2 linked regions of the Lytechinus pictus genome follow. The protein of the gene in region 1 binds, or shares a complex with, the protein of each later gene. Links are inferred from orthologs where the notes say so. Each region holds a gene or a part of one and is shown on either strand. Other genes may lie near its edges. The genes, in order: ubiquitin-conjugating enzyme E2 G2-like and lipid droplet-regulating VLDL assembly factor AUP1-like.

What was found.
Region 2: the proteins of ubiquitin-conjugating enzyme E2 G2-like (region 1) and lipid droplet-regulating VLDL assembly factor AUP1-like are in contact, whole or in part, in a crystal structure (PDB 7LEW), measured with the Homo sapiens proteins. The link is inferred for Lytechinus pictus from reciprocal best matches to the Homo sapiens genes UBE2G2 and AUP1. Residues at the interface, in NP_003334.2 of Homo sapiens: Tyr13, Thr17, Pro20, Gly23, Ile24, Val25, Ala26, Gly27, Pro28, Met29, Asn30, Glu31, Glu38, Leu40, Met42, Glu45, Glu50, Phe51, Val53, Pro55, Lys156, Val159, Gln160, Ser162, Leu163, Leu165; in NP_853553.1 of Homo sapiens: Ser379, Arg382, Gln383, Leu386, Arg389, Lys390, Leu393, Tyr394, Tyr396, Ala397, Arg398, Arg400, Phe401, Thr402.

What each region holds. Positions count from the first base shown.
Region 1 is NC_087245.1:12,249,707-12,253,636, reverse strand, and holds the start of ubiquitin-conjugating enzyme E2 G2-like, read right to left. Parts: upstream 2,658-3,930; 5' UTR 2,397-2,657; coding exon 2,354-2,396; intron 1,179-2,353; coding exon 1,097-1,178; intron 1-1,096. UniProt on the Homo sapiens protein: Accepts ubiquitin from the E1 complex and catalyzes its covalent attachment to other proteins. In vitro catalyzes 'Lys-48'-linked polyubiquitination. Involved in endoplasmic reticulum-associated degradation (ERAD).
Region 2 is NC_087256.1:4,941,406-4,945,335, reverse strand, and holds the start of lipid droplet-regulating VLDL assembly factor AUP1-like, read right to left. Parts: upstream 2,851-3,930; 5' UTR 2,624-2,850; intron 2,589-2,623; exon of another isoform or gene 2,485-2,588; intron 1,853-2,484; 5' UTR 1,752-1,852; coding exon 1,714-1,751; intron 880-1,713; coding exon 742-879; intron 1-741. UniProt on the Homo sapiens protein: Plays a role in the translocation of terminally misfolded proteins from the endoplasmic reticulum lumen to the cytoplasm and their degradation by the proteasome. Plays a role in lipid droplet formation. Induces lipid droplet clustering.

The sequences.
Region 1 (3,930 bases):
AAAGTAAAAAGACAAAAATCTAGCGAGCATAACACTGAAAATTTCATCAAAATCGGATGTAAAATAAGAAAGTTATGATAATTTAAAGTTTTGCTGACTTTCCTGGTCGGTATGCAAATGAGGAGACCGATGATGTCATCCACTCATTACTTCCTTTGTATTTATGAAATATGAAATATTCTTATTTTCTCCTCATTGTCAAGTAAAACAATGTTGAATTCCTCCCTGAAAATGTGGAATTAGCATTGTTTAATACTATATGGTTAAGTCAAAGATGGTCCATATTGTCAAATATGTATAAAATGAAATATTGTATCATTCAAACAATAAAAAAAAGAAATAGTGAGTGAAAGACATCATCGACTGTCTCATTTGAATGTCACTTAATTGTGCATATCACTGTTTTTTTAAATATAAGCGAAAATTTAAAATGTCGTAACTTTCTTATTTTAACATCCAATTTTGATGAAATTTTCAGCGTTATGCCAGTTTGATTTTTCTCTATTTATTCAAATTAAAATTACTCTGGGTGGACTTGACCTTTAATTAAAAATAATAATAATTGAAGAGTATTTTGTAATACTGGTAAAAAATAATGCCCCATATTCCCCCACCAACCAATTCTGTATTCGTGGAATTGCCCCTGATGGCTTTGAAAAAGTTCAATGTTGATTCATTTAAAGTACGATAGTGAGTCAATGATTTACATGTAGTTTCAACTCTGCAATCATCTCATCTCCATCACCTCCATCTTTCTTCATATTCCAAATATTCAAATGTATGTTATCAATATCCCATCCTGCTTTATAACATTGTATTTTTGTTGTGATGGTTTAAAAATCTTTAGTAACAACAGTAGTTCTTTTACTACAGAATACTTGCATGTACGTTTGGTAATTTAGCTGGGAATAATTAGAGGTTCGCATTTACCATTCATTGTCAACAAGATAATTCATTACAAGTTTTTGTTTGTTATATCATAGAACAATATTCTACTAATATTCTGAATGCGAAAGAAAATAATCAAATACATGTAAAAATCATGAAAGCAGACTTTATGTGACAAAGCAAAGAATAGATTTTAGAAAATACTCACGTAATCAGAGCCTCCCATTCGAAGAAATTTTTTTCATCGACAGGGCCTGCTATAATACCCTCTGGAGGGTTCACTGTTAGCTCTGTTCATGACATAAAATAAAACATTAAACTACATAACTTATTGTCTGCATGCAGTTTAAATTTATAACTTTTTCAGTTGATAATTGGAGTAACTTTACAATCCAATGTCATAATCGATTATTAGAGCATCACACACACGATACATTCACGACATTATTATATCACATGACAATGGATTCTAAACGTAAAGTGAAAAAGTAATTGAATTTCAAAGAAATTTATGATTATGCCCTAATCTTAAGTTAAAGGTCACAGGTGAGCAAACATGTCCCCGCCCCGGGGGGGGGGGGGGGGGGGGGGCACTCAGTATATAATGCATAGTGGGTATGTGCCGCGGAGGGGACCCCCATTTTTACACTCAAATTTCCGTTCCCAGGCATAGCATTTTTGTCTTATTGAGAAAAAGAACAAAGAAAGCCGCTCCAAGGCATAGCATTTCCTTCTTATCGAGAAAAAAGAAGAAAGAAATCCGCTCCAAAGCTTCGCATATTTTTCGTTACGCCGTTCCGGTCGCATTGATCTGCTACAATTTTGGTGAAAAGCGGCCGTAGAGCGCTTTTCGACCATCGCCTAAGCGCGAGCGCACCCGGCGGAGGCCGCGCTAGCTGCGTCATGCACGATTGCCCGTTCCATAGGGATGCATACGCACTCACAGAGATACGGAGATCCGTTCCGATGACCCCCGTTTTCACAAACATTTGTAGTTCCGAAGCCCGTTCCGAGGACCCTCCTTTTTACAATAAACCCGCTCCAAGGCCCCCGTTTTTTGCATCGCCCGTGGCACACCCCTACCACTTTTTTGGTCGAGTGCCCCCCCCCGGGGCCCCCGCTCAGCTGGCGACCACCACCAAAAATTTTGTCTTCTGATTTTTTGACTAATTTCATAATTTTGTTTGTCTATTTTACATGTATTATTCACCATTTTTGTATGTTCTCACATGTTGCCGTTTCATTTATATTTGTAATGCTGGTGGAAAGAAAATTTCCATGAACTTGGACTACAATAAATACGAACTTAAGAACTTTATCAAGACACAATCGAATCACAAACACGGGAATCTACGAATGGGGCACACGCAATAATTGCAATATGCCACACATAAATAAAGATCGAGTTATCAGTTAAAATAATACAAATTTAAGCCTTCAAATATAATTTATGAGTTATACCCACGTTTATATTCAGCCATTAATCTCTTCAGTGCAGCTCCGGCCATATTCAGTTCTAATTATTCTCTCAAAATATGCCCGTTTTTTGACACGTCAATTGCGGGTCAATTGCACTGACATTGACAAACCAAGGAGATGAAACCCAACTAGGCCCAACAAATGTTTATTTCAGGAAGGTAGCCGTGAGAGATTTATTTGCAAAGCAAAAATGAGAGGCGATTTCGTGAACTGATGCAACTAGTACTGACACATGTAAAGAGATAAAAACAAATCTCTCCATCATCATCTCTATCACTCAGAAATGAATTAAAGTTTATTTTATAAATGGTCTGACATTATATATATATTTAGATTTTTATTGAAGCAAATCAACCAAATAACAAAAAAATTATAATATTTGAATGTCCTTCCCTCCCTTAAAAAAATTAAGAAAGAAACAAGAAAAAATAAAAAAATCTTAGCATAATAGGTCTGGATCAGCTGAAAATTCGAAGTATAGTGTGCACAAATTATTTTAATCCGTTCTATCATGGATATCGTGATCTTGATTCCATTATTATCTCTAACAAAAATGATTTACTTTTTTTTTACTGCTGTGAAATGTGCAAAGTGCCGACCGAAACTACTGCCGAGCAATTTTAGATTTATTTAAAAGGATGGTCCGGGCTGAAAATAGTTAATTTAAATAAATAGAGTAAAATTCACAAATCAAAATGATAAAAATTTCATCGAAATCGGATAACAAATAACGAAGTTATTGAATTTTAAAGTTTATCAATATTTTGTGAAAACAGTTATATGCACATCGTCATGAATATTCATAAGGTGGGCTGATGATGTCATATCCCCACTTTCCTTTTTCTTATGTTATTACATGAAATCATAATTGTTTCATTTTTCATTCATGTGTAAATGATATTATGATGAAATAAGTTGCAGTAATGCACTTAATCAGTTGTCAATCCAATTGTTTTAGTTCTTGGTAGAAAAAAAATAAACCTAATTTCATATACCAAAATAAAAAGAACAAGTGGGGATATGGCATCATCCGTCCGCCTAATGAATATTCATGAAGACATGCCTAGAACTGTTTCACCGGAATAATGCAAATAACTTCGTTATTTGTTATCCGAAAAAGTTTTGATCAAATTTTCAGCATTTTGCTTTGTGAATTTTACTCTATTTATTGAGATATAAATATCTCAAGTCTGTAGTCAGTAGCGGATCCAGGAAGGGGGGGGGGGGGGGGCACATCCGGCCCGTGTCCCCCTTCTCTATGATGTGAATATGCCATTTTTACCAAAGTGCCATTTTTACCAAAAGGTCCTTTTAAATAAGGACCTTTTTGTCAAAATTTTTATTGGGGAAATGTGCCCCCTCCCCCTTTGGAAAATCCTGGATCCGCCCCTGTTTAACACCGTCCAGAAAGGAGAGCCCCTTTGCATCTTTTATTAAATCACTCCTAGAGTGACATATAGGTAAAAGTTTTCTCAGAGTGCCTCGATTTCGAAGGAGTCGGGGAAATAGCTTACAAAGGTACAGGCCTATCTTCCTGATGATTTCTCCTGTTCCTGATATTTT
Region 2 (3,930 bases), on another chromosome or scaffold:
ACAACAAGAAAGTTATGAATTTTTAAAAGTTGTAAATATTGGTAATCACTATACCCATGGAGACTTCAAATTGGCCGCATATGGGATGTCATAGTGATGTAAGGCAAGGACTACTCTTCCATGTACTCCAATACATATCATGGCTAAAATGTCATTTTTCCCAAAAGTTTTATTTCAAATTATATTTTTCTTTCATGCGGACATAAAACAATATACTACCTGGGTTATATTTAGATTACTGCCCCAGGGAAATGGGTACTTTGGAGAAAACCACAAATCCCTGATAATAAAGTACATGGCCTATGGGAAAGTTGTCCTTGCCCCTTGTCATACTTTACTTACCCAGTTGCCAATTTGAAATCTACATAGTATTAGTGATCTCAATTTTAAAGCAGCTATAACTTTCTTATTGCTTGTCCGATTTCTTTCAAACTTTCACCATTCTGTTTAATTTATTTTTCTCCTTCCAAACACATCATTCAATGGCCAAGGCTGGATTCCCCTTTAATGTGAATATTAATTTTTCAAAATGGTAGAGCGATGGAAAATTAAATGTATTGTTCTTCACTTTATAGTTGGCAAAAAATTATTTCTGTCAATCCAAATTTATTTCAGAAAACTTTTAAGAAGTAAAATACTAATGTTGCAAATTCAAAGAAGAATAGTTTATCTTAAAAGGCTTCAAATAATGTCCTGCAATTAATGAAATAAAACCAATTTTCTTGGGAAGAGATTAAATACCTTCTAAAGGGCACTTGGATAGGAAGAATACAAGCAATGATGAAAACGTGTAAACCAATGAAGAGCCTTAGAACTGCTAGGATAAGACCAAGAGGAAAATACAAGGCCAGGATAACAGCTGTCTTGCTGTCCCCTATCCTGCAACAAAAATAAAGAACAATAAAATGAATTACTCATTGGCTATTTAGCTATCTGATTTCCATCTAGGCTTTTTACAATGATCACCCACTCTCTGTGGCTAATGCAGTGGCATATATATTTACTATCTGCAAATCACATCCCTTTCACTTTTTCATGTTATACCATAATATAATATTATACCATAATAATATCATAATCATAATCATATCATAATAATATATCATAACACACATGTACAGGTAAGTGCACAAATGATACCCTTATCATGACATCGCTCATGTTTGTGGGCTAATCCTGAGACATTGGCTTACCTTTTGGGACCATAGAAAGCTAATAAACTGAAGAGAAAATTGACTTAGAAAAGACCTACAACGCATGCTTTGCATAAATTGGTCTTTAAAAGTTTGCTGAGAAATGGGAAAACTTCAGCATCCGTTTTTGTATTCCGCTTGTAAAATCATCACTTCATGAAAAAGTACAAACAAAACAAGAAAACAAGAAGAAGAGAAAGGTAAAAATTAGAAATATCATATTTAGAAATGGAAAGCAGAATATTAAACATCAAATGTGGAACAAAGAAAATCAAAGTAAACTCAAACTGATTAAAAAAAATTTTTTTTTTCCTTGAAGCAGGACCACCTCTATCGCCTCCAAATTGCCTATTTATTTTGAGAACTAATATTTTTTCATCCAAGACCAAGTAAATTCTTCAAATAGCCAAAAAGCAAGGTAAAAAATTGACTTTTCAGTCTTAAAAACCTTCCAAAGTTTCGATATCTGACTGACATGTGATCATGGTGATCCTAATCCACTTTATACTAAAAACCTTACCTTTGTGGACTGAAAAGCTGGGCCATTTCAACCACCATCTTAAGCTTTCACTTGGCTAATCACTGAGAAACAACTGCGAGTAGTACAACCTCGGCTCTGGATGAGTGAGTAGAACCACCTTTCCTTGTCCTCGAAAGTCCTGAAATTAGAGAAAAAATTGGTTTAACATGTTTAATTTGAAAATTCATAGGCAATCACTACTAGATTTTATACTTTCATATTGAGTTTAGAATACCAAGGGCAAGGCTGCTCATGTAATAAGGGATAAAGCATCCATTCTTTGAAGGACATGAAGGAGGGGTTTAGTCAGGTACTAATAGTACTACTAACCTCGCAATACGTGTGAGTGGGGTTGAGTTAACAAAGTCAAAGGCAAAGCCAAAAAATTTGAGCAATGAATAACTTGGATCGGACTTAGCAAGATTCAAGACAAGAAAGATACTATCTACATTAAATCCTGATGTTGTCGAAACTAATCCAAACTGGCATTATCCTGGTTTAAGTCACCAGTCCATTCACTGCCGTTTATTTTATTTCGTCAGCACTACCAGTCCACTACTCACTAGTGACTTCTTTCCACTCCCATTGACTTTGTACACCACGAGTGCACACGATGACACATGACACACGAGAAGAGAGGTGACTAATTTCACGATAAGGCCTCTAAACTAGTTTAAACAACATCTTAAGGTTAAGCTGGTCTAGAAGCTTTTGAAAAGTAAAATTAACTTGCTACTGCGAAGTTATAGAATAGAGAGCAACCTCACTCACGTCACGTTGTTAATACTCAAGTTTTACATTTCAGTCCCATACATTCAAAGTTACGTTTGGTAAAGTAAATCAATACAATAGTAGGCGTACGAATATTTACAACTGGATTGTCACTTCTAATATTTCTTGTAAATCTCACCCTTTGTATAATGCTTAATATGAATGATTCGGTCCATACGAGGTATTCAGGAATTAAATGTGTTCATTTATTGCAATGGTATTCGACTGCCTTCCTGCGCTGTTCTGATCAACAAACAAGGCCAAGCAAGGGCACGAATTTTCTTTTGACTTTACTTCAGATCAGCCAAAGATAGTTGCGCCAGCAAAACTCGTGTATGGTGTCCGTCAGGTGTCAAGTAGTAATATGAAAAGAACATATAATTGGCATCCTTGAATATGATCCAAAACTTGTACTCTTTTCCCCATTTCATTTATGTAGGTTATCTATTTATTCATCTGTTTGTTTATTTATGTATGTCTCTTAATTATCATTTCTCTTTATATTTTTGGAGGGAACATTAGAGTTTCACTTCAAGGGAGAAAAATAAAGATAAGGAAGGGGAAATGGTGAAATATGAATATCATTTTCCGGAAGTTACATTTGTGCATTTAATCTATCACAGTTTTTTTTTGGCACATAAGCCTTGCCTGGCTCCCTTCAAATGCTTGCCTCATTACGTCACTGAGGAGACTCGGAAATTGCACTGTGACAAGTTATAAGCCTACCCCCGCGCCCTTCCCACTGTAGGAACAAATGGAGCATTCAAGTCGCTCCGAGTATTTAAAAACAAATTTATTGGGTATCAAATATAGTTAAAATTCAATGCGAAGGACTATAATTATTTATGAAACGTATTCATTTTATTGAAATAACCTTACATTCTAAAAAGACAAGTCCATCCCCATCAAATAGTTGATTTAAATAATAGAGAAAAATCCAACAAGCAGGGGTGTGGGAAGGAAGACTTGTGGGTCATGGTAATTTAGTTAACCTTTTCCAAACCAAGGCAGCCCCTTTATCTCTATTCCAGGTCATTTGTACTATGTCACGTATGTCCTAATGTTTATGTAATTTGTATTGTACTGTAATTTATATATTTTGAAATGCCGAATAAATAATAATAATGATAACGAAAATGTCATCAAAATCCAAAATTGGGTGGAAAATAAGAAAGTTATGACATATTTCACAATGCACACCATTGTCGGTATGCAAATGAGGGGTGTGATGACGTCACCCACTCACTACCTATTTTGTATTTTATTATACTAAATGTTCTAATACTATATTTTCTCCTCATTGTCATGCAAAACAAAGTTTTATTTCTCCCTAAACATGTGGTATTACCATTGTTTAAATATTTTGTGGTTCAGTCATGCATGTTGGTCATCTTTTTCAAATCTCTTAAAGGTATAGTGTATGATTGGTTGATCTCAGACAAGGGC